Macaca mulatta: one gene and its partners. The protein of the gene in region 1 interacts with the protein of each later gene in a pairwise test. Links are inferred from orthologs where the notes say so. Each region holds a gene or a part of one and is shown on either strand. Other genes may lie near its edges. The genes, in order: BICD2, MFAP1, SNW1, RAB6A and PRPF31.

The links.
Region 2: the proteins of BICD2 (region 1) and MFAP1 interact in binary tests that used the Homo sapiens proteins (3 or more experiments, as listed by UniProt). The link is inferred for Macaca mulatta from reciprocal best matches to the Homo sapiens genes BICD2 and MFAP1.
Region 3: the proteins of BICD2 (region 1) and SNW1 interact in binary tests that used the Homo sapiens proteins (3 or more experiments, as listed by UniProt). The link is inferred for Macaca mulatta from reciprocal best matches to the Homo sapiens genes BICD2 and SNW1.
Region 4: the proteins of BICD2 (region 1) and RAB6A interact in binary tests that used the Homo sapiens proteins (3 or more experiments, as listed by UniProt). The link is inferred for Macaca mulatta from reciprocal best matches to the Homo sapiens genes BICD2 and RAB6A.
Region 5: the proteins of BICD2 (region 1) and PRPF31 interact in binary tests that used the Homo sapiens proteins (3 or more experiments, as listed by UniProt). The link is inferred for Macaca mulatta from reciprocal best matches to the Homo sapiens genes BICD2 and PRPF31.

The regions. Positions count from the first base shown.
Region 1 is NC_133420.1:123,434,135-123,439,913, forward strand, and holds the end of BICD2 (protein bicaudal D homolog 2), read right to left. Parts: coding exon 4,967-5,779; intron 4,380-4,966; coding exon 4,228-4,379; intron 1,901-4,227; coding exon 1,591-1,900; 3' UTR 470-1,590; downstream 1-469. UniProt on the Homo sapiens protein: Acts as an adapter protein linking the dynein motor complex to various cargos and converts dynein from a non-processive to a highly processive motor in the presence of dynactin.
Region 2 is NC_133412.1:21,193,518-21,199,296, reverse strand, and holds part of MFAP1 (microfibrillar-associated protein 1), read left to right. Parts: intron 1-1,193; coding exon 1,194-1,323; intron 1,324-1,582; coding exon 1,583-1,770; intron 1,771-2,912; coding exon 2,913-3,021; intron 3,022-3,441; coding exon 3,442-3,602; intron 3,603-5,779. UniProt on the Homo sapiens protein: Involved in pre-mRNA splicing as a component of the spliceosome.
Region 3 is NC_133412.1:150,953,599-150,959,377, forward strand, and holds part of SNW1 (SNW domain-containing protein 1), read right to left. Parts: intron 5,100-5,779; coding exon 4,995-5,099; intron 4,053-4,994; coding exon 3,983-4,052; intron 3,033-3,982; coding exon 2,967-3,032; intron 598-2,966; coding exon 481-597; intron 1-480. UniProt on the Homo sapiens protein: Involved in pre-mRNA splicing as component of the spliceosome. As a component of the minor spliceosome, involved in the splicing of U12-type introns in pre-mRNAs.
Region 4 is NC_133419.1:74,146,844-74,153,113, forward strand, and holds the start of RAB6A (ras-related protein Rab-6A), read right to left. Parts: upstream 4,168-6,270; 5' UTR 3,766-4,167; coding exon 3,696-3,765; exon of another isoform or gene 3,427-3,695; intron 1-3,426. UniProt on the Homo sapiens protein: The small GTPases Rab are key regulators of intracellular membrane trafficking, from the formation of transport vesicles to their fusion with membranes.
Region 5 is NC_133424.1:66,350,193-66,355,971, forward strand, and holds part of PRPF31 (U4/U6 small nuclear ribonucleoprotein Prp31), read left to right. Parts: intron 1-626; coding exon 627-710; intron 711-1,306; exon of another isoform or gene 1,307-1,311; coding exon 1,312-1,409; exon of another isoform or gene 1,410-1,496; intron 1,497-1,598; exon of another isoform or gene 1,599-2,227; coding exon 2,228-2,334; exon of another isoform or gene 2,335-2,533; coding exon 2,534-2,703; exon of another isoform or gene 2,704-2,998; intron 2,999-3,275; coding exon 3,276-3,433; intron 3,434-3,596; exon of another isoform or gene 3,597-4,049; intron 4,050-4,508; exon of another isoform or gene 4,509-4,633; intron 4,634-5,779. UniProt on the Homo sapiens protein: Involved in pre-mRNA splicing as component of the spliceosome. Required for the assembly of the U4/U5/U6 tri-snRNP complex, one of the building blocks of the spliceosome.

The DNA of each region.
Region 1 (5,779 bases):
TGTGTTAGGGGGAGCCCAGTGGCTTGAGTGTCTGCAAAGCCCCTTAGGAGTATGGAGAGAAGCTGTGTGCCAGGCTTGCAAGGAGAGGGCAAAGCACGTGCAGGGTGAGCATGCCAGCAGTCATCCCACTGCGAGTCTTGCTGGGGCAGGGGGATCTGGGCCCAGGATGAACACGCAGGGAACATAACATGGGCCTGTCCTGGAGTCTGGAGAGGACCGAGACATACTCGGCACCAAAGGGAAGAGCACGCAGGGTAGACAGCTGTGGGAGGGGGCAACACGGTCTCTCACCAGGTAACTCGAATGCCTCTTCCGCATGAGAGACAAGGCAAGCAGCCTGCAGGGGAGAAGACTGCAGCCTCAAGTCCAGCTGGTTCCACGGGGTGATCGGGAGAAAAATACTGAGAAAAGTTCTGCTCAGAATGTGGGAAGGCAGGCGGCCTGATGCCAAAGCTCTGGTGTGGATGGAGCCTCTGGAAATGGGAGAGCCCTACAGCTACCTTTCCTCTTTCTCTGTTGCCATTCCCCAAATTGCACTAAATAAAGAGACCTAAACATCTCCTACCTGTGAATCCTGACAATTGGCCCTGGCCCCATGCAAAGCTTTCCCAGCACCAGGCTAGGCTCTGGCTACAACTGTGGGTGTCCAACCCAGCCAAGCCCCTGGTGGCTCAGACTTCAGGCTAGGGTTTTCAAAGCCCCATGTCTTTGGGACTGAACCCCCTAAGGACAGCCAGATAATTGGCTGCTGAGGTCACCCCAAGTACAAAAGGACAGGCTCTGCACTGAGGACCAAGGTCTGGCCAGGCACTTGGACAGCTTTTCTCATGAAAAATGAAAACCTGGGGCCTTGGGCCCTGCCCATTTGTCACCTCACAGGCCACTAGACAAGCATCCTGATCTCAGAAATGTAAAACCGAGCTCTGGATTCCTGGGTTATGGTCAGCTGTGTCTCTGCCATGTGTGTCTGGCCAGCAGAATACAGGGGCTCAGGGCTGCTCTTCTCTGGGCTTGGGGAAGAAATTCTGCACTTCTGTACTGAATATGATTTGCAGTGAGATAGTGCATAAACTACAACATAATCCTTTCCATGAAACTATGCCAAGTGCAGAGCCGTCCTCTGAAGCAGTACCTATACGGCAAGCTGGAACCTCCTAAAACTGCTTTCTAGCGCTGACGTTAGACACATGCGAGGAACATGCAAGTTTCAACTCAGGTTCTGCCCCATTTGGGTGCTGAGGGAGCAGGACCAGGACTCCTTCCCTTGGGTTTCCCCAAGGGTGCCCAGGGCTTAGAAGATGCTTTCATCACACATCTGCTGCAAGAATGTGCAGCTCTATCCCCACCTCTGACCCCCACCTACGAGAGCAGCTGAGGACTGGGTGCTCCTGAGGGGGCTTTGAGGAGTGAGAAGCGACACAAAGCTCTCACAAGTGTCCTGCTGATGCACACGCCCCATGGCGCCTCGGCTAGAATCCTACCCTCTGTGCATTAGTCACGTTAAGATTGACCTAGCGCCGCTGTCCCGCTGCTGCTGGGTTAGTTGAGGTGAAGCAGATGTTAGCTGCAGCGTGCGGCGCCCCACAGCCCCTAATCACAGTAAATGCTGTGCTTCTCGCTGCAGAACACCTGGTTGGCCAGCCCGGTGCCCTCGGCCCTGTCGCTGGCACAGGCGCAGGCGTGACTTACGCTCGGGGTGGCTGGCTTGGCCTTCGGGGCAGCTTTGGTGCGGCCACGCCGCGTCTGCTCATGGTCCAGCTCGAGCAGCTCCAGCCGCTGGGTCAGTGCCAGCTTCTGCTGGATGGCCATGCGCAGCAGCGAGTTCAGCGTCTTCTTCTCGTCCTCGGCGGCCGCCAGCTGCCGCTGCATCTCATCCAGTTGTGTGATGTACTCGTCACACCTGTGGGTACCAAAAACATGACTGAGGAGTGGGCAGAGCCGAGCAGAGGAGAGCAGGGCAGGGCCTGTGCAGCCCTTTGAGAGGCCTGCACCAGAGCCATCCTTCGGTGTGGCCTCTGGACTGGAGGGTGGGGGTGGGGGAGAATTATTCTGGCTTATTTTAGCACAGGCTTTGCTCGGACAAATCCCTGATAAGGGTGAGAGGGAGGCTTGGGCCCAGGCAGGGCAGCCCTATGAGGCTGGCTTGAGTTTTGTGGTTTTGTAGGGGAGGGGCTGCTGTGCTCATTCAGCAGCATGTAGTGCTTACAGAGAGGCTATGCCCCTCAGTGACTGGGCTGCTTCTAGGAGGTGCGCTCCCCACTTAAAAGGCCTCGAGGTGGCCTGGGGCATCAAGACATGGAGATGCCATGGCTTCTAGGGTGTGGACGTAAACCTAAGCAGGACTGGGCTTGTTCCCAAGGTCGATGCTTCGTCAGTCTGTGCTGAGCACTGACCGGAGCCAAGGAACCATGTGTGTGGATGCCATCGATAGCTTCATCCCAAAACCCGGTGCGGAGCTGTGGGAGGGTGTGATGTGTCCCTGGATGCCCTTCCTCCACATGTCCCATATGGGTGGGGCTTGGTAGAGACACAGGGCGGGTTAAACCCCGGGGCTCCCAGGGTGGTAAGGCTGTGCAGGCACTGAGCGCAGCCCCACCCTGCCCACACGCACCCCACCCTGCCTGTCCCCACCTGCCAGGAACTGGCCCTTGGATAGCACCCTCTCCAAGGGCTCTGCTGCCCACCCTTTTGAGGACACACACTGAGCTGTGATCCTTGCAGGTTCAAAATCTTGGCTCCATCTGAAAAGTTAACTTTTAAAATAAAACAAATTTTAAAAGGTAGGGTTTACATGCCAGATGCTGAGAAACTGTGGAATTTTTTCCCAAGCCCCAGAAAGACAAGACGCTTCCAGAGAAACCTTGGGCCTCTTCCTAGTCCATACCCCGCCCTGGCAGGGCCTGCAGGGATACCGAGAAACTGGGAGTGCCTGGCACCAGGCTTGAGAGAAGCAGGCCCTATGTGCAGTTCCCACCCTGTCCAGCTCAGATCCTCAGCTTGCTCACCCACAAAAAGGAAACATCTAGGTTATCTGCTGCGCCCATGGTGGGCCTGGCTGTCCCCCATGCAGGGCTGGCCCCATGGTGCTATCCCAATATGACCCAGCAGGTGGCACTACCCATCTCTGGAAGATGAAAGACAGATGGGGGCACCTGTCAGGGAGCACCTGGGAAGATGCTGGAACCAGGACCTGCCCCACAGAGGCCCATGAACACCTAGGGAGCCTCGATTCCCAGCCTTGGGGTCTGACTCCCAGCCAGGGAGGGGTGTGCACCCACCAGGGGCAGCCCACCCAGAGCCCACTACTAAGAGACCCACCACAGAGGAGGAAGGAAAGCTAGTCTCCTCCAAGCCCCAAGGCCCTCTCCTCACCTTCCCCAGATTGGCAAAGTGGAGGATGGGAGGTGAGTACCCAGTGGTCACAATGACGCAGAGGTACAGGGCTATGCACAGAGGTGGGACCCGAACTGTGGACCCCAGCAGTGACCTGCTCCAGCCAGGAGGGTAATCCTCCTTCTGATTCTACAAACATAAATGCATACTTGTGCCATATGGCCAAGTTCTTGGGGGCGAATACCTCATGAGAGAAAAGGCCAGGACTCCTCTGTCACCTGTTGGCCCCAAGTAAGTCCCTGGAAATGTTGGATCCAAGGGGTGGGAGCCCAAGCACCCCCTGAAGCTCCGCAACTCTGGCCCATCCACTCCAGGATCTGCTCTCCTCAGCCCCTCTGCCCTCAGTCTCCATATATGCAAAGCAGAGGCAAGCCTGGGCCTGCTGTGCTTTCAATCACAGCAAAATCGAATCAGCGCCACAGAACCAGGCTCCTGGGGGCTGGGCTAGGTGTGAAAGGAACAGAAAAAGGATCACACACGCTCTGCCATCCCCGGCCACATGTGGTCACCTGCCAGGCATGCGCTACGCTCCAGCACCTGCTTGCGTGACCTCGAAGGAAACTGAGGTGACCTCGGAGGAAACCAACCCCATGTGGCCCCCATATCGCCTCACCCTTTCTTGTCACCAACTTGAGCACCAGTATGCCAGAGATGTGCCAGGGGCCATGCTTCCCCAACCTTGTACCATGTTGGCCCCAATGGAGCTGGGCACAGCCACTGACTAGGCAGGGCTGCAGGCCTCAGTATAAGGCAGTGAGAGGCTAAGGGTTTCAGAGCAAGTGCTGAGGACAGCTGGCCTCAGGGAAGGGGAGGGCCCGACAGCAGCACGGTTACCTGGTGGCAAACATGGCACGCAGCGAGGAGAAGGTGGCTGCGTCCTCCTTGAGGGCCTTGAGCTCATTGCGCAGCTTCATCATGGTCTCGGTAACCATGGCCTTCTCATTCTCATACTTGCTCTTCAGGTTGGCAAGGGCCACCTCGGCTGTCTGGGGTACAGATGTGTAGGGTAGAAAAGTGAGAGGCGTGAAGTCATCCTAGAGGTGCTCTGGGAGTAGGACGGGGAGTCCTGGTCTGAAGTGGTGGCGGTGCCTGGGAAGAGAGCTCCTGGGAGGCCCCTCCCTCTGACAAACCCTGGGGATGGACTCCAGCAGCTACGCCATGGGGAGTCCCACCTGCTGATTCTGACTGGCAGAGGAGGGACTGCCCCCAAACCTGCCTACGGGACCCCCACAAAGCCCCACAATCACTCTCCACAGCTCAGACTACGGCTCTCACACGTTTTCCCGCCAGCATCAGGAAGCACTATGAGGCAGTCACAGTGAGTGAATGGCAGCGGCATTTCTCACTGGCTGAGCGGCTCTGCTGAGGGGCCCTCACGCCCACCTGCCTGCTCCACCCTCCCAGCTGGGGGCCCTGAGCAGGGGAGGGCAGGCGGCCAAGCTACTGTGGGCTGGCTTTGCCTGGTGGTGACGCAGGCCTGGGGGGCCCCGTGGCAGGGGTAGGAAGGAGGCCAAAGGGAAACACCCTGAGGCCAGCAGTGGGTGACAAGTGGCCCTGCCGCCTGGCGTCTCACCTGCTTGTTGGCCTTGAGCACAGTGCGCAGCGTGGTGATCTGCTCCCGCTTGGTGCTGAGCAGCGACTTCAGCTTGAGGATCTCCTCCATGAGCGCCTCCTTGTCCTTGTCCACAGCAGGGCCCAGCTCCTGAGAAGCAATGCGCTGGCGTGACAGCTCCGTGGTGCGGTCCACGGCTGCCTGCAGGTGCTTGATCTGGTCGCGGATGATAGCAATCAGGTTGTAGATGTTCATGGGCTCCCGGCGTGGGTCACTCAGGGGTGACGGCAGTGAGGAGCCAGGTGAGGGGCTACTGTCCCCGCTCCCGCCATCGGCTCGGCCGGCCTCAGGAGCCAGCAGCCCCTTGGGTAGGAGGATGGGTGAGCGGCGGCCGCGCCCCTCAGGGCTGGTGCGGCCCCCGGGGCTGGTGCGGCCGGCTCCGCCCTGGCCCTCGCGGTAGTAGTCCAGCATGACACGGTTGGGCGTCTCATTGTTGCACATGCACACATGGTGGTAGAGATTGGCCAGCTCCTCACTGAAGGTCACCAGCTCATCCTGGGCCACACTCAGGCTGCCCTGCGTCTCACCAGCGACGTCGCTCACCTTCTTCAGCTCCTTCTCCAGCCGGGCCAGTAGCTCGCGGTCCTGGCGGCTGGCCTTCTCCAGCAGGGAGACCTTTTCCATGAGCGCCTGGCCCTCAGCCTCGTAGCGGCCCTTCTCCTCGGCATGCTGGGCCTCACGAGCCTCGTGCGTGCTGCGCAGCACCTTGAGCTGCTCACGGAGCTCACCAGCCTCAGCCACGGCCACGTGGTACTTGCAGGCCAAGATCTCGGG
Region 2 (5,779 bases), on another chromosome or scaffold:
CCAGCCTGAGTGACAGAGTGAGACTCCGTCTCAAAAAAGAAAAAAGAAAAAATAAATAAAATTACAGTGCCCATGGGGAAAAAAACACTTTTATTCATTCTCACATAACCACAGTTACTAGTGGAATTTGTGTGCCTATTGGACACTGACAGCCTTGCAGACCTTGGAATCAGCACTGTCACTTTTTCATGTCTTGTTTTATATTGATATTCACACTGTACTTTTTACCACAGCAGCCACCAAAACCCAATTTCACGAAGATACGATATTCTCAAAAGGAATGTAATATGACTTAATGTTGAAACTGAATTACCTTGAGCTATTGAAAATATCCCAATGCAGGCCACGCTCGGTGGCTCACGCCTGTAATCCCAGCACTTTGGGAGGCCAAGGCAGGCGATCACCTGAGGTCAGGAGTTCAAGACTAGCCTGGCCAACATGACGAAACCCCCTCTCTAGTAAAAATACAAAAATTAGCCGGGTGTGGTGGTGCACGCCTGTAATCCCAGCTACTCAAGAGGCTGAGGCAGGGAGAATCGCTTGAACCTGGGAGGGGGAGGTTGTGGTGAGCCGAGATCACGCCATTGCTCTCCAGCCTGGGTAACAGAGTGAGATTCTGTCTCAAAAAAAAATCCCAATGCATCCCTATGAGTTTGCTGGCTTGCTGTGGTGCCTTAGGATGCCTCAACATACGTTTAGTATTTCAGGCCAAACTTGGCTATTTGCTCTGATATCCTAGTCTAGTTCCTTTAATCTGCACCTCAGTTTCCCCCACCTCAATACTTTAATATTGGATGGACATGGTGGCTCACATCTGTAATCCCAGCACTTTGAGAGGCTAAGGCGGGCAGATTGCCTAAGTCCAGGAGTTGAAGACCAGCCTGGGCAACATGGTAAAACCCCGTCTCTACAAAAAATACAAAAATTAGTCATGTGTGCTGGCATGCCTATAGTCCCAGCTACTCAGGAGGCTGAGGTGGGAGGATCACTTGAGCCTGGGAGGCAGAGGTTGCAGTGAGCCAAGATCGCACCACTGCACTGCAGCCTGGGTGACAGAGCAAGACCCTGCCTCAAAAAAAAAGACTTCAGTATTAATGAAGGCAAACATAATGTACTGTGTGGCTGTGGAAATGCGGTTGATGCTAGTTCATTTTTATGACATTGGTGTTACATTTGGAGATACTGTTTATCAGATTGGCTCGACATCGGAAAATAGTGGAACCTGAAGTGGTAGGAGAGAGTGACTCAGAAGTAGAAGGAGATGCTTGGCGCATGGAACGAGAAGATAGCAGTGAAGAAGAGGAAGAGGAGATTGATGATGAGGTATGATAAAGGAACATGGGAAGTTTTTTTCTGGATATAAGAAAAAGTTGACGCCTGTGCTCATTTGTTGAAGCCTTAAAAACATGAGATCACTGCTTTTGGCAGGACTCTGATCATGTTCCTTGTTTGTTGGGATAGGACTAAAAATAGAATGGTACTAAGTTGTATTTTTTTACATTTGAATTTGTTGGGTTTGATGAGACTAAAACAAAAAGCCATAGGCCATTTGACTGACCGGCTTACATATATGACTTCACAGGAAATAGAACGGCGGCGTGGCATGATGCGTCAGCGAGCACAGGAGAGAAAAAATGAAGAGATGGAAGTCATGGAAGTGGAAGATGAGGGACGTTCTGGAGAGGAGTCAGAATCAGAGTCTGAGTATGAAGAGTACACAGACAGTGAAGATGAGATGGAGCCTCGCCTTAAGCCAGTCTTCATTCGAAAGTAAGTATCTCACGAGCCAGATCTGAATCCACTTAATTACCACTTTCCAGGCGTGGAAACAAAAGTCTGTTTTCTGTTGTGCTATTCTGAAATCTAAGCACTGAGTGAAAGTGCTTTTGCTAGTGCTGTAGCCTTGCCAGACGAGCTGCTGAGGAGTATCTTGGTGTTAGCAGAGAACCTGAGTTTGTTTTCACATCTCTTTTTTTCAGTTATAGAGCATATATCTGTCCAAGGCCTTTTTTTTTTCTTTCTTTCTTTCTGAGACGGAGTGTTGCTCTTGTTGCCCAGGCTGGAGTGCAATGGCGTCATGTCTGCTCACCACAACCTCCAACTCCCGATTTCAAGCGATTCACCTGCCTCAGCCTCCCTAGTAGCTGGGATTACAGGCATGCACCACAACGTCTGGCTAATTTTGTATTTTTAGTATAGAGGGGGTTTCACCATGTTGGTCAGGCTGGTCTCGAACTCCTGACCTCAGGTGATCCGCCCTCCTCAGCCTCCCAAAGTGCTGGGATTACAGGCATGAGCCCCCGCGCCCAGCCAAGGCCATATATTTTTAAACACAAAATTAAACTCAACAAGCAGATTCCTATTCCTTTCTTGATGGCTAGAAATCCTCCTACTTACAGGCCAGCAGGTTCTTTGCTGTCCAGGCAGTTCTCAAAGATGAACATGATTTTAGTGCTCCAAAGACCTGGGATGATGGCTGGGCACAGTGGCTCATGCCTGTAATTCCAGCACTTTGGGAGGCTGAGGCAGGTGGATCACGAGGTCAGGAGTTCAAGACCAGCCTGGCCAAGATGGTGAAACCCCATCTCTACTAAAAATACAAAGAAATTAACCAGGTGTGGTGGCAGGCGCCTGTAATCCCAGCTACTCGGGAGGCTGAGGCAAAGAATTGCTTGAACCCAGGAGGCAGAGGTTGCAGTGAGCTGAGATCACACCACTGCACAGGAGACAGAGTGAGACTCCATCTCAAAAAAAAAAAAAAAAAGACCTGGGATGACTCAACGTTTTTTGCTCTTTGAAAATAATAGAGCCAAAGAGTTTGGTTTCGTCTCATTTGGATGGGACTAGGTCTAGGGGAACAAAGCACTCCACTCTAAGGACTTTAGGCAATTAACAGGACCTCTGTGATGCAGGAAGGACCGAGTGACAGTTCAAGAACGTGAAGCTGAAGCATTGAAACAGAAGGAGCTGGAGCAGGAAGCAAAACGCCTGGCAGAGGAGAGGCGCAAGTACACACTCAAGGTACTGGGGAGTTGGCCGGGCGCGGTGGCTCAAGCCTGTAATCCCAGCACTTTGGGAGGCTGAGGCGGGTGGATCACGAGGTCAGGAGATCGAGACTATCCTGGCTAACACGGTGAAACCCCGTCTCTACTAAAAATACAAAAAAAAAAACTAGCCGGGCGTGGTGGCGGGCGCCTGTAGTCTCAGCTACTCGGGAGGCTGAGGCGGGAGAATGGCATGAACCCGGGAGGCGGAGCTTGCAGTGAGCCGAGATCACGCCACTGCACTCCAGCCTGGGAGACACAGCGAGACTCCGTCTCAAAAAAAAAAAAAAAAAAGGTACTGGGGAGTGGTTCCAAGGATTGAGTACAAGAAAATAGTGTAATCAGGTTTGTCTGAGGAGAGTAAGGAAGTCCAAGCCGAATTGTTCTCCCTATCCAGATTGTCGAAGAGGAAACCAAGAAAGAGCTGGAAGAGAACAAGCGATCCTTGGCTGCACTGGATGCACTCAATACTGATGATGAAAATGACGAGGAGGAATATGAGGCATGGAAAGTTCGGGAGCTAAAAAGAATCAAGAGGGACAGAGAAGATCGAGAAGCGTGAGTAAAAAGATGAGCCTAGAGTTAATGCTGCTAGTGGAACAGGTTTCTAGTAGGATAGCTCTGAGACTCATTACCTACTGTGAGTTCCATTCTGGCCATCTTCAGAGTTCTTGCTGCTGGGTGAGTTTCCTATAATTGGAATGTGAGTTTCACTTGTTACAGTGAAATCAGGGAAGAGAAACACACTTTGTCGATGTGTGTCCATAATAGAGTGCCAGCCAGTGCTCCCTTTAGTTTCCTAGTAGACACAAAAATTAGTAACTGTTAGCAGTTATCTCTTACTGTGTACAACCCAACCCACAATTGAGTGACTTGAAAAAACAATTACTTTTCACAATTTTGGAGGTTGGCTGAACAGTTCCTCTACTGATTTCACGTGGGCTCACTTATGTTGTTGTATCCAGCTAGACAGTTGACTGGGCTAGAAACTTAAAAGGGCTTCACTCACATGTCTAGTAGTAGGTGGTGGCTATCAGTTAGGATGCCTCACTTATCCTTCATTGGGTTAGACTGCCTTCCTTACATAGTAGTCTCGGTACCATTCTAAGAGGGCAAGGTCTTCTGACACTTAGGTTCCAGAACTCATACATCAATCCTGCCACATATTGGTCAAAGCAAGTCACAAGGCCGACCTAGCTTTAAGCAGGTGGAGAAACAGACTCCACCTCTGGATAGGAGAAGCAGCAAAGTCATACTTTTTGAAAAGGGGCATGCATACTGTGAGGGGAAGCATTTGTGGCACTTAAGTAACCTACACTATGTTAGAGCAGAATCTTTTTTTTTTTTTTTTTGAGATGGAGTTTTGCTTTTCACTCAGGCTAGAGTGAAGTGTCACAATCTCAGCTCACTGTGGCCTCCGCCTCCTGGGTTCAAGCGATTCTCCTGCCTCAGCCTCCCAAGTAGCTGGGATTACAGGCATGTGCCACCACACCTGGCTAATTTTTGTATTTTTAGTAGAGACAGGGTTTCACCATGTTGGTCAGGCTGGTCTCGAACTCATGACCTCAGGTTATCCACCTGCCTCGGCCTCTCAAAGTGCTTGGATTACGGCGTGAGCCACCACGCCCGGCCCAAGCAGAATCATTTCTGAGCTGCATCACTCATTCCTATAAATTATTAGGTATAAGAGGGTAATCCCGGATTACAAAGGAAACCATCAATAGATAACTCTAGGCTGGGCGTGGTGGCTCACGCCGTAATCCGAGCACTTTGGGAGGCTGAGGCAGGCGAATCACTTTAGGCTGGGAGTTCGAGACCAGCCTGGCCAACATGGTGAAAACCTCTCTCTACTAAAATACAAAAATTAGCCGGGTGTGGTGGTGTTTGCATGTTATTCCCGGCTACTTGGAAGGTGGAGGCAAGAGAATCGCTTGAACCCAGGAGGCAGAGGTTGCAGTGAGCTGAGATAGCGCCACTGCACTCCAGCCTGGGTGACAGAGTGACACTCTTATCTGGAAAAAAGAAAAAAAGAAAACTTGCCTCAATATGAGCTACACACAATAAATAGATAACTCCATCCTCAGCCTGTAGTTTCTTTTTTTTTTTTTTTTTTTTTTTGAGACGGAGTCTCACTCTGTCGCCCAAGCTGGAGTGCAGTGGCGCAATCTTGGCCTCCACCCCCTGGGGGTCAAGCAGTTCTGCCTCAGCCTTCCAAGTAGCTGGGACTACAGGCATATGCCACCACACAGCTAATTTTTGTATTTTTAATAGAGGCGTGGTTTCACCATGTTGGCCAGGCTGGCCTTGAACTCCTGACCTCAGGTGATCCACCCACCTCGGCCTCCCAACGTGCTGGGAATACAGGCATGAGCCACCACGCCTGGCCCTCAGCCTGTAGTTTCTAAGGTTTTTATCCTGGACCTGAAGGAGTAGGAGTCCAAGTGCCCTTTAAAATTGTACACAAGGCTGGGCATGGTGGCTCATGCCTATAATCCCAACAATTTAGGAGGCCGAGGTGGGCAGATCACAAGGTCAGGAGTTTGACACCAGCCTGTCCAATATGGTGAAACCCCGTCTGTACTAAAAATACAAAAATTAGCCAGGCATGGTGGTACACGCCTGTAAATCCCAGCTACTCAGGAGGCTGAAGCAGGAGAATCGCCTGAACCTGGGAGGCAGAGGTTGCAGTGAGCCGAGATTGTGCCACTGCATTCCAGCCTGGGCAACAGAATGAG
Region 3 (5,779 bases), on another chromosome or scaffold:
GATTATACGCATGAGCCATTGTGCCTGGCCTAATTTCATAATATTTAATACATTATGCAATATTAATAGATGGCCAATGCTATGAACGCCATTTTATGTAGCATTCAATTCATTAGAATGTTTATCTGTCTTTGCCTGCAACTGCCTTTTTGTGGGACAGCTACATCTAAAATACAGGAAAATTTGAAATCAAGAATTACGAAACCTAGCAGTCTTCACAAAATGGGATCATCCCCAGCAAATCATTATTCTGGCATGTTGTGAGGGAGCCGGATCACCATTGTGGGGTGTATGTACACATCTACAAAGGCTAGGAGCATGCAGACAGCTGCCAACTAGCAGCTGCCATTTCTGACACACGTACCATGGGTGAGACTCTCTCTGGGTGCTTGGTACTATAGTTAAATTATCAGTACCTTAGGTAACCAAGAATGGATTTTAAAAGTAACAAGAGCATTAAACAAATTATAACCAACCAACCTTCCGATCAGCAATGTAGAGGGCTTCTGCCAGTTTGGCGAAATTTTCATTTATGTGTACTGTCTGTAGTCCTCTTCCATCAGCAGCCAGACGTTTGTCTAATGGAATTGTATAACCCTAGGGTGAAAGCAGACAGAAAACCCAGTCACAGAAGTGCTTCAATTAATTATTTGAAGTTAAATTAATTTAATTTTTTTCGAGCTGGAGTCTTGGCTCTGTCACCCTGGCTGGAGTGCAGGGGTGCCATCTTGGCTCAATGCAACTTCTGTCTCCTGGGTTCAAGTGAGTCTCCTACCTCAGCCTCCCAACTAGCTGGGACTATAGGCGTGTGCCACTACACTCAGCTAGTTTTTGTATTTTTAGTAGAGACGGAGTTTCACCATGTTGGCCAGGGTGGTTTTGAATTCCTGACCTCAGGTGATCCACCCTTAGCCTCCCAAAGTGCTGGGATTACAGGCACGAGCCATCAAGCCTGGCTAAAATTAAATTAAAATATGCCCACATTTTAGGACCCACTTAAACTTAACTGGGGTTCTTTTTCCTTATATCTTTCTTCACAACGACGCAAAATAACAGCAGCTATCAATGAGTGCTTTATGCAGAAGATCAAACACATCTATGGTCTCATTTAACCTTCATAATAACTCTATAAAGCTTCTAACATTGTGTCCATTTCACTGATGCTTTGGTAACATCCCCAAGGTCATACCGTTAAAATAAGTGGAGGACTAGGATTTAAACTCAGACAGTAGGATTTCAGAACCCAACCTCTGGAAAAATAGATACTTGTGCTGATAATTGTGGATTTTAATAAAAGGAAATCAGTGTCAAACAGTTCAACAGTTGCTCCTCAAATAAATGTAACAGTCAAACAAAGGCAGAATAAATCACTATAATCTTAGCATCTATAGGAAGTTAAATCTGCTGTACTCTCTTAATGATCTGTTATATTCTTAGAACCCTGAAGTTTTAGTAAATAGAAAAAAAAAGGCTGGGTGCAGTAGCTCAAGCCTGTAATCCCAACACTTTGGGAGGCCAAGGCAGGTAGACTGCTTGAGCCCAGGAGTTCAAGACCAGCCTGGCAACATGGTGAAACCCTGTCTCTACCAAAAATACAAAAAAGTAGCCAGGTACGGTGGGGCACACTTGTGGTCCCAACTACTTGGGAGGCTGAGGTGGGAGGAATGCCTGAGTGTGGGAGGTTTAGGCTGCAGTGAGCCATGATCATACCACTGTACTCCAGCCTGGGCAACAGAGCGAGACCCTGTCTCAAAAAAAAAAAAAAAAAAAAAAGAAAAGAAAAGAAAAAGAAAAAAGAAAAAAACCGTTTGCTAAACCACTGACATTCTACATTCTAAAACTTTGCATCCCATTTCAATAACTCAAGAACTATACTTGAATATCTATGTAACTTTCAGGCTTAGTTTTATTTTCCAGATACCTGACTAGTCTCTCAAATGTTGACCTTTAAGTCCATGGTCTCATAAAAATGAAGCGTTACAGAACCAGCTCAAGATACCATCCAGTTACATAATATTCATGAACTCGAATCAGACCAGTCAACAACCTCTTTGTTTAGGGTGAGTACATAAATTCTCTTAAGAAACCTGAAATGGCCTTCTTTATCCATCAAAAGTAAAACCATGAACTATGATTCAGGGAAGAGGAAAGAGTAATTAGGGAACCTATCCCACAATCAACAGATTCTTAACAACTCCTAGAAACTTTGGCGATTATTAGAGACATATAGCTTAAGCCTTCACTACTACAGAGCCAAGTAGTTGAATATAAAAGCACTTAAAGTATGCAAACATTTACTCTGTTCTTGTCATATAATCTTTTACACCAGTTTACTTTCTTTTGGAAACAATTTTTAGACATAAATTTGAGTTTTCTAAATACCATCTTGTATTTATATGGCACTTTATTATACTTATTCCTTCTCTATGTTTCTGCTAGCTACAATTCACTAAAAGAACTGATATGGGGCCAGATGCGGTGGCTCACACCTGCAATCCCAGCCCTTTGGTTGGCCAAGGCCAGCGGATCACAAGGTCAGGAGATCAAGACCATCTGGCCAACAGGGTGAAACTCCATTTCTACTAAAATACAAAAAATTAGCCGGGCGTGGTGGCATGCGCCTGTAGTCCCAGTTACTCAGGAGGCTGGGGCAAGGCAATCGCTGCAACCTGGGAGGCGGAGGTTGCAGTGAGCTGAGATCATGCCACTGTACTCCAGCCTAGTGACAAAGTGAGACTCCATCTCAAAAAAAAAAGAAAAAAAAAAGAACTGACACGGTATTCATGTGCCTGGCACACTAACATTTCTATTACATTAAAAAAGTCACCAAATTGGGCATTCCTTTTTGAAAATACTCAGTTAAGCCATGTGTTGTTTCAACTACAGTTACGCAGGCTGTAGTTGTTTTATTGGTATTTTCCAGTAGGTTATAATACTAACAGAGACTGATTTGACAACTTAATTACCTTTGCATTTTTCCAGTTAGAAATACAAGGAGGAATCTTCCACTCTTGTTGTTCCTTTACAGTCATCTGAGAGAAGAGTGAAAGAAGAGACAGGTTTAGATTTATAGTCTACAAAGTAAATCTTAAGTATAATCTTTATCTCCAAAGATAGCTCCATATACACTGACATATGCACAGACATAGTAAAAGGCCAACAGTCCATTTGTTTGCTAGCACTAGTTTACCATATAATTCTAGTAATAACTTTGAACTACTGGGAAAAATGGAAAATAATCTAGAAATTATTCTTGACAGTTACAAATGTTGGCTAGTATTTTTCCATATTTAAAGCGATGCGACTTCTTTTTTCTTTTTTATTTTATTGAGACGGAGTTTCGCTTTTGTTGCCCAGGCTGGAGTGCAATGGTGTGATCTCAGCTCACCACAACCTCCACCTCCTGGGTTCAAGTGATTCTCCTGCCTCAGCCTCCCAAGTAGCTGGGATTATAGGCATGCGCCACCACGCCCGGCTAACTTTTTTTTTTTTTTTTTTTTTTTAAGTAGAGACGGGGTTTCTCCATGTTGGTCAGGCTGGTCTTGAGCTCCTGACCTCAGGTGATCCGTCCGCCTCGGCCTCCCAAAGTGCTGGGATTACAGGCGTGAGCCACCATGCCTGGCCAATGTGACTTCTTTTGGATGAAAAATTGTTCTTTTGATTAATAAAATATATCTTAAAAAGTCACTCAAATTATCAGGGACCTAATAAACCCATATATTCATTTCCAATAACATCCTTTAACTGAAACAGCAGACCCTGTCCATTCCATTAAAAGTAGGGTTTGGGTTACTAATAACAAAACGTATAGCTAACATGTTATATACATTCTCATAAGCATTCTTGAAACTTCATCTTGAAAAATAAAAAAAGAAACTACAAGTCAATGTGGTGACATGCACCTGTACAGGCATAGGGAAGTTATCTATAAAATTAATAACCATAAGTAGAAAAAAAGATTGTGGACTACAGCAAAGAATACCTTTCGGCTAGGAGAATGCATGACAGGTGCAGGAGGAGAAGGTGGTCCCCGGGGAATTTTCTTATTAATCCTGAAGTATAAATCAAACACAACCACACAGTGATATAGTTTCCTCCCTTTTAGTCATCATACCAAGTCTCCCCTCCTTTTTCTTGCATAAAAGTTTCAAACATAGACAAAAACAGAGATTGTATAATGATATACACTTACCACTCCACTTCTAAAATGAATAAAACTTGGCCAACTTTGAAATCGTTACTCACCCCACCTCCACAACATTACTGTCATTTTGCAGAGTAATATACTTTTTTTCCATTTTAAAAAGCAGCTTGAGGCTGGGTGCGGTGGCTCACACCTGTAATTACAGCACTTAGGGAGGCCGAGGTGGGCAGATCGCCTGAGGTCAGGAGATCGAGACCATCCTGGCTAACACGGTGAAACCCCGTCTCTACTAAAAATACAAAAAATTAGCTGGGCGTGGTGACAGGTGCCTGTAGTCCCAGCTATTCGGGAAGCCAAGGCAGGAGAATGGCATGAACCCAGGAGGCGGAGCTTGCAGTGAGCTGACATGGCGCCACTGCACTCTAGCCTGGGTGACAGAGTAAGACTCTGTCTCAAAAAAAAAAAAAAGGCAAGTTTATTGAGATAATTGACATTTATTAGCTATACATATTTAAAGTATATAATTTGATTAAATTTTGACACAAATATGCACCTGTGAAATCATCATCACAAGCAAGATAGTGAACATGTCTATCATCCCCAAAAGTTTCTGCTTGCCCCTTGCCTATTCCTCTTGTCCCTCTCATCTCCTCTCTGTCCCTACCTCCTTCCCCAGAGGCAACCACCGATCCTTCTGTAACTACAGGTTAGTTTGCATTTCCTGGAGTTTTATATAAATGGAATCATACTGTATGTACTTGTTTTCATCTGGCTTCTTTCACTCAGCATAATCGTTTTGAGATTCATCCATGTTATTGTGTGTATTAGTAGCCTATTCCTTTTTACTTACTTGAACCTTGGAGGCTCCATTGGATCTTTCTGCATTTCTACCATCCGAATAACCCTCTGTTTAGCTCCAGAGTTGAATGCCACTCCTTGCTGAGATGGTGTATATCTGAAGAAAGCAGATAAAAACTAAAGGTGTAATTAGTTCAAGCTTTCAGTAGGTATTTTCCTTCTATTACAATCTTAAGCTGGACTACATTTTCAATTCCTTTCGCAAAGTATTAACAGAAAATTAACACAATATTTAGACAAAGCAGACAGCAAGAGGGATAAAAGAACATAAATTACGAGTTACAGTAAAAAACTTGAGTGGTATTAGTTTGCAAATAACCCATCCTCATATGTTTTCCAACATGGAAGGTGCAGAGTTCAGTTTCACAGACAAGCAGTCTAGAAAATAGTACCTATTTGGTATGCCTGCATCTGAGGAAAAAATACTCATAATAATCCCAGCAGGCAACTTACAGTTAGCAGTTTTTGATTAATCATAGGTTATAAAACAGAGAAAAAATAATGACAGAAGCCCTACCAACTCTGAATTTTCCCTTAATATCTGTATGTAATTCATCTCTCTATGCAGCTTTAGTCAAGTGAAACGTCTCAAAATTTAGAAGTATTATAAAGATATCTATTACCTATAAATAATAATTGTGATTTAGGTCATATACCACAAGTAATTGTTAATTTCTAAAAATAAAAAATATAATTTGAAAATAGCATAGGGCCAGGCCGGGTGGCTCATGCCTGCAATCCCAGCACTTTGCGAGGGCGAGGTGGGCGGATCATCTG
Region 4 (6,270 bases), on another chromosome or scaffold:
GATGGGATTTTGCCATGTTGGTCAGGATCACCTGACCTCAGGTGATCCACACATCTGGGCCTCCTAAAGTGCTGGGATTACAGGTGTGAGCCCCCACGCCCGGCCAAACATTCCCTTATTAAACCATAAGAATTTATCCAAGGTTAAGATTGATGGCATTAACTCAATCTGCTTCATGTACTGACGTAATTCATTTTCATCATAGAGCATAGTATCTTAAATATACACACATACATATATATATATATTTCTTTTCCTTGAGGCAGAGTCTCACTCTGTCGCCCAGGCTGGAGTGCAATGGCATGATCTCGGCTCACTGCACCCTCCGCCTCCTGGGTTCAAGCGATTCTCCTGCCTCAGCCTCCTGAGTAGCTGGATTATAGGCACTCACCATCATGCCTGGCTAATTTTTGTATTTTTGTAGAGACCAGGCCGGGGGGTAGGGGGGTGGGCCTCCACCATGTTGGCCAGGCTGGTCTTGAACTGCTGACCTCAGATGATTCACCCATCTCAGCCTCCCAAAGTGCTGGAATTACAGGCATGAACCACCGCACCCACCCTAGTATCTTAAATTTTTGACAAGCCAAATAAAACCTAATTTCAGATCAGTTCCATAAGCACATGAGCACATCATTAGTATAATTTGAATACTTTTCATGTGTTATATTAATAATTTAACAACAACTTTAACAAAGGAAGACTAATTCTGCTCAACTCAAAAACAAAAAAGTACAAAATTCAGGTCAGTCCTATTTTTTGAATGAAATGGTTGGGCCTTTAAATGATTGGTTTCTCTACCCACTTAAGTATCTGATAGATTCCTGTATACAATCAAATGATGTAAGTTTTAAGTGTTATTGTTAAACTATCAATTGCATACGGAAAAAATGTGAACTTCACCACGTCAAAGAGTGTAATATAGGCTACTAGCTTTCATTACTATTAGATTCAGCCACCATTCATTCACCCAACATGTCTAAGCAGCTACTATGAGCCTGGCTCTATGCTAGGCAATGGGGATACACTGAACAAAAAAGGTAACAGTTTTTATCTTCATGGGAGTTGCATTCTTCTGTGGGAAATAAAAACAAACACACAAAAAATAAGATAATTATAAAGGTGGTAAATGCTATTAAGGAAAAAACAAGACTTGCCACAGATTACAGTCTTTGAAAGCTGAATTGTGGAATTCTAACAGACCTAAAAATAAGTAATTCATGAAGAGTTACATCCAAACGACATGGAGTCTACAGACCTCTACTAATGCATAAGAAAACTATAGACACTAACCATGAAAACAGAGATCAATCTTTCATTGTCAAAGCTACTGAATGGCATTACTTGGCAATATAGTAACTTCAAAAGATAATTAACTTGACATCCTGAATTGAATGCTGAAACAGAAAAAGGACATTAGGTTAAAACTAAAAATCTAAATAAACTATGGACTTGAGTTAATAATAACATATCAATATTAGTTCATTAATTGTAACAAATGTGCCACACTAATACAAGATGTTAATAACAGGGGAAACTAGATGTGTGGATATATGGGAACTCTGCACTATCTTTTCGATTTTTCTGTAAGTCTAAAACTGTTCTAAAAAATGAAGTCTATTAAAAAAAAAAAAAAATCTAACCAGGCTTCAGTAATGGAGGGAGGAGGGTAGTAGAGGCTTAAACAAGGTACGAAATTAGAAGCCATAAAACTCTCCATTATGAATTAGAACATATACAAATACTCAAGAAATTCAAAGGAAACCTGAAGATACTTAGGAAGTTAAGCACTCCTTTCATGCTAAAATATTTTTAGACAGGGAGATGAATGAGTTTTTTCATGCAAACTAAATAGCTGTGCATCACAACGTAAGAAAGGCAATAATATCCTTAGAATGCACAATAAGCACTTTGGATCCTTTTTACCAATAATGATCAATAAGCTTTATTTTATGTTTGGGAACTATCCTGAAATTGACATATAAAAGCTGGACCAGGATCAACTCCATAGGTTCTACCAAGTTACTCACCTAAAGACACAAGTTTATACTTACCTCAGGAAAATATGTAAGCGAAAAGCAAGGAGATCGTATTTTTACCCTCAAAAGGGAGGAGGGGAAGATAATCTACATATGAAAGGAGAAAAATGATTTCCCAGTTCTAACGGGAGGCAATTTTGCAAGGGTATTAACCTCTGTAATGGCATACAAATCAGTATAAATAGTTCAAAGTAGTAATAAAAGCTATGAGTTTATATCACTTATATGCCTTCTAGTCAAAACAAACAATTAATGTTTTCTATAACCTCACCTAAAACACCTAGTAGGTACTCAATGTTTGATGACTCAGAACTAGTCTCTCAATGTCTGAATTTTAAAGACGGTCATGCAAAGTGTGAGAAAAACAAAGGAGGGTAATCGTCCCTGAATTGTCGAGTGTCAAGTTTGTATAATACAGCATAAAACTGAAATTACTACAAGAAGTAATCGTAGAAACGACCATCACAAAATTAGGATCTTGTATCTAATACGGAAGTACAGTGACAGCAGAACCTGACCAGGTAAATGACATAACAATTTCACTCATCAGATAGTACGGAATATGAAGCATAAAAGAATTATTTAGCCCAAATGGTATTTAAATCTAATTTAGATAACTAGATGAGTTTATTTCTACTCTACTCCATTTTCCAAAGGAAATTTGACAAAACAAAGATGTTTGTTATTCCAAGCCTTCTCTCACATGAATCCTCAATATATCATTGGAAAATACTCAAGAAATGAATAATTAACATTTCCCCAGTAATTCCCGTTTGTACCACCATGAGACTCAAACGCTGCTTCATGTTGAAAAGAGAAAAAGGGTAGGTGAGATGAGAAATATTCCAAGTAAAATGATCATGACATAGCATCTGGCAGAGATTGAAAAATCATCAACACTGCCAAAAGAATTGTCAGTGATGGAAGTCAACAGAACAAAATGAGGTTTTCCGACAAGCCACAGCCCCATCTAACCTAAAGGGCAAAAATCTCCACTGCCGACGCTACCCCTTTCACCCCCAACCACCCCATGCTCAAGTCGTCTCCAATTCAGATGTTTCCTCTATGGCCCGACTAATTTCCCACCCAGGTGAAAACCATTTAATAATTTTTTCTACGACCACCCCTTCCCACCTTCGACGACATCAGCACTTCTCAGGGCCAAGCCTCTGGGGAAAACAACGCCCAGATCCCACCCTCCTTGGCCAAGGTTGAAGAGGGCCCGTTCTCAGGAGTAGGGCTTCCCTGAGTGGGCCTCACAGAGCTGAGGAACTGGGAAAAGAGCAAGGAATAAGGGTGGGGCTCAAGAAAGGGTACTGGGGTAGGGGAAACGACGGAGACCGGAGGAAGAAAGGGATGGACAAGAGGCTGGGCGGGGTGAGGGCTGAGGAGGGGGGGCAGATCGACCGGAGACGGCCGGACTGCGGGGAACGGAGACGGCGAGTCAAGGATTGAAGAACCCGGGGAACAGGGTAAAATCTCGGCCGACAGATCCAGGCGGAGAGCCAGTGGCACCGGGGGGCACATCGGGAAGGGCTGCAGTGGCAACGAGCGCGGACGCTAGGCGGGCTGGGAGCCTCCGCGGACGGAAGGGCCGCACCGGGGGCGGTGCGGGGACGCTGGGGCCAGCTGCCAGGAGTGGGGGAGCCACGTACTCACCGCTTTGCTCCCCCAGGAACACCAGCTTGAATTTCCTCAGCGGATTCCCGAAGTCTCCGCCCGCGGACATGGTGGAACTAGAGGAGCTGCCGCCGCCTCAGCCCAGAGACCTCCCGGACCGATGCTGCTCCAGACGGCTGACGAAAAAGGCGAGCGGAAGGGCGGGCGCCGAGCTCTCTCGGCCCCTGCAAGGCCCGGTGGAGGAGCCCGGTTGGAGGGCAGCAGGACTCTCCACAGACTGGCAGCCGCCGCCGCCTCCCGGCAGAGTAGCCTAGCACCGAGCGAGGCCCGCGGCTGGGAAGGAGAGGGCGGTGTCGGCAGGAGCCAGGGGTGTGCTCTGGTTTCCCTAGGCTAGGGCAGTTCCCTCCTTCCGCACTCAACTCCGACACCTGGGGGAGAGAGGCAGAGGGTGGCGGAGCCGGAACCGCAGACGTATCTGGGACCTCTCACGCGCAGCGCCTCAGCTTCCACAGCTGCCGCCGCCGCCGCAGCCCAACCTGCTGAGTGCGCGAGCCTCTGGCGCGGCGCGGGGCGAGCCCGGGCGCGAGCCTGCGGCCCCGCCGGCCGCTGGCGTGCGTGCGTGCGTGCGCGCCACCGCCATAGCTATCGCCTTCCTGGTTTGGACAGCTCTACTGGCTCCTCCCGCACGGCGGCGACGGGGCAGGTTAGGTTTCCACTTGCGCCAGAAGAAGCCAGGAGGAGGCGGGGCAAGCCAGGGATAAGTTAGGAGGAGGCTGGAGCCCTTACGTCACTTACGTAATGAGCCAATCGGAAGGGGCCGAGGGCGAGCAGACACGCGAGTGAGGTGGCAGCGTGAGAGCGCGCGCAACCCTAGAGCAGTGGAAAGCGGACCAGTGTGGCGGCCATACGAAGTGTGGCGCTTCTCAGTCTTATGGGACAGGAGGGGAAGGAAGGGGAGGGGAGAAGGGTGGGGCGGAGGCGGGGCCGGGATAAAGGTGGAATATGATCCCCCAAAAAGTGTGGGTGGTCCTATAGCCTTAAAATTTGTAAGAGGTGCCTCTTTCCTGAGCCCTCAGCCGTGCCTCACAGTCCTCAGATCCGTTCTTCACCCGTGCACCCACCCCACCTTCTTCACCCTCTCATCATAATTCCTCTCACAGCATCTTACTAAATAACATTATCTTCCATTGCTCCCAGGAATTTTATAACTGTCAGAATCAGGGCCTCCCAATTTTGCAGATGAGGAAACTGAAGCCTAGAGAGAGAAAATGACTTGCAAAATCCGTAAAGCAGGCCGGGCGCGGTGGCCCACGTCTGTAATCCCAGCACTTTGGGAGGCGGAGGCGAGTGGATCACGAGGTCAAGAGATCAAGAACATCCTGGCCAACATGGTGAAACCCTGTCTCTACCAAAAATAGAAAAATTAGTTGGGCGTGGTGGCACGCACCTGTAGCCCCAGCTACTCGGGAGGCTGAAGCAGGAGAATACCTTGAACCCGGGAGGCAGAGGTTGCAGTGAGTCGAGATCGCACCATGGCACTCCAGCCTGGCGACAGAGCGAGAATCCATCTCAAAAAAAAAAAAAAAAAAAAAAAGCCGGGCGTGATGGCTCATGCCTGTAATCGCAGCACTTTGAAGGCTGAGTTGGGTGGATCACCTGACGTCAAGAGTTCCAGACCAGCCTTGGCCAACATGATGAAACCCCATCTCTACTAAAAATACAAAAAATTAACGTAGTGTGATGGTGGGTGCCTGTAATCCCAGCTACTCGGAAGGCTCAGGCAGGAGAATCCTTGAACCCGGGAGGCGGAGGTTGCAGTGAGCCAAAGTCACACCGCTGCACTCCAGCCTGGGCAACAAGAGCAAGACTCTGTCTCAAAAAAAAAAAAAAAAAAAAAAAAATTCCATAAAGCGGCTGGGCGCGGTGGCTCACACCTGTAATCTCAGCACTTTGGGAGGCCGAGGCGGTAGAATCGCTTGAGCCCAGGCGTTCGAGACCAGGCTGGGCAACAAAGCCTGGTCTACAAAAAATAAAATAATTAGCCGAATGTCGTGGTGTGCCCCTGTAGTTCCAGCTACTCAGGAGCCTGAGGCAGAAGGATTGCTTGAGTCCAGGAGTTGGAGGCTGAAGTATGGCACCACTGCACTGAAATCTGGGTGATAGAACAAGTCCCTGTCTTAAAAAAAAAAACAAACAAAAAAAAAAAAAAAAAAAAAAAACTTTCTAAGTGAATAATAAAAAAAGTCCTTACATTTGTGTATAGTATCTTATGTCATCCACAAAAACATTTATGTACATTTTCTCATTATTGGGGAGTTATTTGCTTAGCTGTAGAAACGACAGGATCGAAAAAGTGCCTTCTCAGGCCCAGGGATGAATTGGTGACCTAGAATAAATTACAGGGAGTGCTTAAAATATCATCTAGTCTGGCTTATCAAGACAACAGCTATATCCTCAAACCATCTCTATCAAAATTTACTCCCTTCTGGTTCCTCTCCCAGCCACGTGCATCTAAAATAAAATGCATTTAGAACATGCATCTAAAATAAAATGGTAAAAACCTGGCTTGTGGCATGGACGTTTGATTTTACAAGTAGTTTGTCAGGTCTAATAG
Region 5 (5,779 bases), on another chromosome or scaffold:
AAAAGGCCAGGAGGAGTGGGTGTCTGGGGCACTGTGACCAGTCCTTTATGGCTGGATGAGAGGATGGGGTGGGAAGGGTGGGAGGCCAGACCGCAGAGTTGCTGAGTCAGCAGAGAGGAACTGGGCAGCTCCCTGTGTGCCAGGTGCTGTCCTGAGTACTCGGGTGTGGGTGTAGATAACGCAGGCACAGCACTGGTCCCTGCAGAGCTTCTGGAGTTGGGCAGGCCTTGAATGTCAGTCTAGGGACTTGGTCATTAGCCTTGGGGCTATGGGGAGCCATAGGAGGTTTCAGACGGACGGTCAGTTCCAGGGCAGGTAGGGTCAAGTCTAGACTGGTGTGGAGGGAGAGGGATTGGAGGCAGGAACACAAGTTCAGGGATGTCTGCAGATGTCAGCCTGTCGCCTGCTTTACTCTTCAACCCCTCCTTCCTGACCCCCTCCAGCCTCGTCCTCCGCCTCCTCCAGCTGCAGGATCTGGGAGGCAGACGTCAGCCTGTCCCTGGTTTACTCTTCAGCCCCTCCTTCCTGACCCTTCCCAGCCTCATCCTCCGTCTCCCCCAGCTGTGGGACCTGAGAAGGGGTAGGGATTTATATCCTCACACCCATGCCACTCCGTGTCCTCACAGTGATGGGACCGGTGGAGGCAGCGCCTGAATACCGCGTCATCGTGGATGCCAACAACCTGACCGTGGAGATCGAAAACGAGCTGAGTGAGTGCTGGGGGCAGGCGGAGACAGCCCCCTGTGACGCCCCTCATGCCCCCTCCCTTCCCCACGGGCCTTTCCCAGGGTCCTGCCGCTGAGCCCAAGCTCAGATCGAGGTTCACCTGCTGTAACGGAGTGGTGTAAGTAAGAAGGAAGTGTGTTCTCCCTCACGTATGAGTCTGAGCGAGCACTCGGGGACGGCGTGGCTCCCTCGCGTATGAGTCTGAGCGAGCACTCGGGGACGGCGTGGCCGCTTGGCTGCCCGTAAGGCCCCAGCCCTTTCCATCTTGTTGGTCGGCCACCTGCCTCGTGGTGCGAGGGGACTGCCCCACGTCCAGCCGTCGCCTCTGCATTCCCACCAGCAAGGCACTTCTTTTTTTTAAGAACATGTCACTGCAGCTCACATTTTACAGACCAGAACTAATTCCCCTGGTCACACCTAGCGGTAAGGGCGGCTGAAAAATGGAGCCTGTATGCTGGTGCCCGTATGCCAGGCTACAAGCCAGGGCTTCAGTTACTAAAGGAAGAAGGGGACGTGGGTGTTAGGGCCAACCAGCAGAGTCTGCCTCCCGTCTCACCTGACACCCGCCTGTCCCGTTTACCCTAGACATCATCCATAAGTTCATCCGGGATAAGTACTCGAAGAGATTCCCTGAACTGGAGTCCTTGGTCCCCAATGCACTGGATTACATCCGCACGGTCAAGGTGAGAGCAGAGGAGGAGCGGTGCTTCTGCTGGTGTGAAGGTGCAGGCAGGGCTCACTCTTGGACCCGCCCCCAGAGGCCTCGGGGTCTGGAGGTGAAGGAGAGGAGTGGACGGAGGCTCAGTGGCCTGCTCTGCCCAGGGTGAGAGGGACGGAGCCTGGATGGGACTTTCTCAGGGCTCCCCTCGTACCCCAGTCTCCCGAGAGGGCTTCCCCGCTGGCCTGACCCGCGCTGCTTCCGCTGTGGTCGGAGCCGGTGGCATTGGAGTTGACATCCGAAGGTCGTCACAGGGCAGGCACGCGGAGATTTGGGGGAGAGAGATGTGTTAAGTATGGAGAGCCGGAGAGGGAACAAGCGGGGAGGAAGTGAGGCGGGGAAGGAGGGGACGCGGAAGAGGTCGGATCACACTGAGCCTTTGGGTCTTATGAGAAAGCCAAGGAAGGGTTTCGGAAAAGAGGGGCGGATGCAGGTGAGGGCAGGGAGAGGAGGCGGTCCCCACGTGTGTCCGGGAAAGGATCAGGATGGTGGTGGGGGAAGCCCCCGCAGGGAAGCGAGGCCGCGGGTTTGTGCTCCGACTCGACACAGGCAGAGGCTTGTGAGGCCGCGGTCTTCCCAGACGCTGCTCTGCCCAGGTTCCGTTTCCAAAGCAGAGCAGACGGTGTGGATGCTTCAGGCGGTGGAGGCAGGAGAGGCCCCCAGTGTAGAGACCCTGACTTTCCCAGTGTCCCCGAGAAGAGACCCGAGTAGGTGCAGGGCCAGAGAGGCTCTCAAGCCTTCCTGAGTTCCTGAGCCTCCCCTGTCTTCTCTGCTCGCGCCCAGGAGCTGGGCAACAGCCTGGACAAGTGCAAGAACAATGAGAACCTGCAGCAGATCCTCACCAACGCCACCATCATGGTCGTCAGCGTCACCGCCTCCACCACCCAGGGGTATGTCCGCTGGAGGGAGGCGCCGGGCCCGGGCCAGTGGGACTGGGGATTAGGCTGAAGCTACCCACGCAGGTGGGCATACACACACACGCACACACACACACACACACACACGTGCACACACACACAACTGAGAGGGTGGGTGCTGGGCACCAAGCAGGCGGGAGACCCAGGAGGCTGGGCCCACCCGCCCCTGCAGGCAGCAGCTGTCGGAGGAGGAGCTGGAGCGGCTGGAGGAGGCCTGTGACATGGCGCTGGAGCTGAACGCCTCCAAGCACCGCATCTACGAGTACGTGGAGTCCCGGATGTCCTTCATCGCGCCCAACCTCTCCATCATTATTGGGGCGTCCACGGCCGCCAAGATCATGGGTGAGGCCCTGGGCTGGGTCCCATGGAGCGGGACTCTGCTGACACTGTGATCTGGGGGAAGCTGCTTCCCTTTTCTGTAGAATGGGGACTTTGGCACCTGGGCCTCAACACCCCGTCTCCCTGGACGTGACAGAGGTCAGCCAGCCTGGCACACAGCAAAGCCTCGTCTGGGAGAAACACTCACCCACAGCTCCTCCTCCCTCCCCTGTGCCGGAAAGCCAGAGATGACCACACCCAGGCCCTGTTGTCAGGGGGCTCCTGGTTTGGTGAAAATGGTTCCAAAACACAGACATCCCTGGAATGGGGGTAGTGTGGCTTAGCACAAACGTGGTGGTCAGTTGCCTGTTGGGGGCCTCCTCCCTGCACCCCAGGCCAGCTGCCCTCCCTCTCTGAGCCTCCTTTGCGTCTGCCCCTCGCGGAATGGGCCAGGTCGCCCGCCTGGCAGGGCCACCGAGGAATCCAGCCAGAACCTCACGTAAAGGTGCTTGGCACATGTCGAGCCCCCAGGCAGATGTGCGCACCCCCGCCTCCCCCGCTTTCTTCTGACCGCCCCTGTCCTCCTCCCACCGCAGGCGTGGCCGGCGGCCTGACCAACCTCTCCAAGATGCCCGCCTGCAACATCATGCTGCTCGGGGCCCAGCGCAAGACGCTGTCGGGCTTCTCGTCTACCTCAGTGCTGCCCCACACCGGCTACATCTACCACAGTGACATTGTGCAGTCCCTGCCCCCGGTGAGCCCACCGCGTCACAGCCCCTCCCCCGGCTCCCCTGGAGCCTTCCGCCTGCCCAGACGGCCTGAGCAGCCACCCCCACCATCTGGCCCAGCTGACAGTAGCACTCAGGAGCCGGGGACAGGGTAGCATGGGATGTGAGAGCCAGGGTTCTGCAGCACACCTGTCGGGTGACTGTGGGCAAGAGGCGTGAGTGCCCTGTGCCTCAGTCTCCTCCCCTCGAAAATGGGAGCACAGCGCCTGCTTCACGAGTTGGGGCGAGGGCTCCATGTAGACGAGGCCCTCACAAGGCAGGCCTAGCTCACGACAAGCAGCGTCGGGTTAGCAGCTGCTCCGAAGGCCACCGTCACTGGAAAGACACGGAACCCCTGAGGGCTGCTGTGCTGGGGACTGTATAACAGATTAACATTAGCCACAGGGAGAGACACACAGGAGGAGCAGGAGAGGTCACCAACCTCGGAGGGCGATGTGTCCTCTCCCCGCAGTCAGGACACATCACCCTCCCGGCATCGATGCCTGACAGCACACACAGGGCCGCCAGCCTCACACCCGTAATCCCAGCACTTTGCGAGGCCGAGGCGGGAGCATCACTTGAGGCCAGAAGTTGAAGACTAACCTGGGCAACATAGTGAGACCCCGACTCTTTTTTTTGTCTTGATTCCAATGGGATTGGAAACACCCTGTCTCTACAAGAATAAAAAACCCGGTGTGGCAGCGCTTGCCTGTCATCCCAGCTACTTGGGAGGCTGAGATGGGAGGATACTTTGCGCCCGGGAGGCGGAGGTTGCAGCGAGCCAAGATTGCACCACTGCACTTAAGCCTGGGCCAGGGACGCTTGCCTGGGCCGTGGTGTTCAGTCTTTATTGTGGCTCTGCTGTGTAGACACGACTGTGTTGCCGTGTGGCTGGTCTGTCTCCAGGTCAGGTGATGCCCCATAACTCAGAGCCCCCACGCTGAACCACGTGGTTGGGCTTTCCTGCGTGGCCAGCCCCAGGCACCCTAAACCACACTGTGGCTACCCCAGGGCCCCAGCCAGCAAGGACCGCCACCCAGGACCCCCGGGCAAAGGCCAAACCTCTTCCTGGGCAAGGCGAAATTCTCTGCCACGCGGAGCCGCTGCCAGTGTTATTCCTGTGACTGTCATCTTCAGTATCATTTGATTCTGTGGCAGCGAGTTTCACATCATCCTCCTGATGTCTCCTAGAACACAGGTCATCTCCCTTCAGTGGCACAGACCATGAATTTCAGTGACACAAAGACGGTGGTTTTTATTTTAATCACTGCATACTTATTTTTATTGAATAATCTCCCATTCGTGGTAATGAAATTAAGCTGTCTAAACAGGTTTGCAGTTTTTAAAAGCAGACTAAAAGAAAACATTGACGACTGGTTATCATCAGAAGGCATTTTAGTCATAGCAGTGGTGGGAAAACGCGCAACAAGCAGAGCTGGCTGTGAGTGGAGCTTTGGAAACATTTGGTGATCTCATTGAGTCCTCACAACTCTCTCTTTTTTTTTTTTTTTTTTTTTTGAGACGGAGTCTCGCTCTGTCGCCCAGGCTGGAGTGCAGTGGCACGATCTCGGCTCACGGCAAGCTCTGCCTCCCGGGTTCACGCCATTCTCCTGACTCAGCCTCCGAGTAGCTGGGACTACAGGTGCGCACCACTACGCCCGGCTAATTTTTTGTATTGTTAGTAGAGACGGAGTTTCACTGTGTTAGCCAGGATGGTCTCGATCTCCTGACCTCATGATCCGCCCGCCTCGGCCTCCCAAAGTGCTGGGATGACAGGCTTGAGCCACCGCGCCCGGCGAGTCCTCACAACTCTCTTTTTTTTTTTTTTTTTTGAGACGGAGTCTCGCTCTGCCGCCCAGGCTGGAGTGCAGTGGCCGGATCTCAGCTCACTGCAAGCTCCGCCTCCCGGGTTGCCACCATTCTCCTGCCTCAGCCTCCCGAGTAGCTGGGACTACAGGCGCCCGCCACCTCGCCCGGCTAATTTCTTTGCATTTTTTAGTAGAGACGGGGTTTCACTGTGTTAGCCAGGATGGTCTCGATCTCCTGACCTCGTGATCCGCCCGTCTCGGCCTCCCAAAGTGCTGGGATTACAGGCGTGAGCCACCGCGCCCGGCCGAGTCCTCACAACTCTCTAAGGGAGATCCTGTCCCTCCTCTGCCCTTCGCCACCCATTTCACAGATGAGGGAACCGAGGCACCGAAAGTCAGACTTGTCTGAGACCCCGCAGGCGGTGGAGCTGGTCTGAGTCTGGACAGTCCGAGACCCCGCAGGCGGTGGAGCTGGTCTGAGTCTGGACAGTCCGGCCCAGAGCCAGGGTCCCTCCCCTCGGGGTT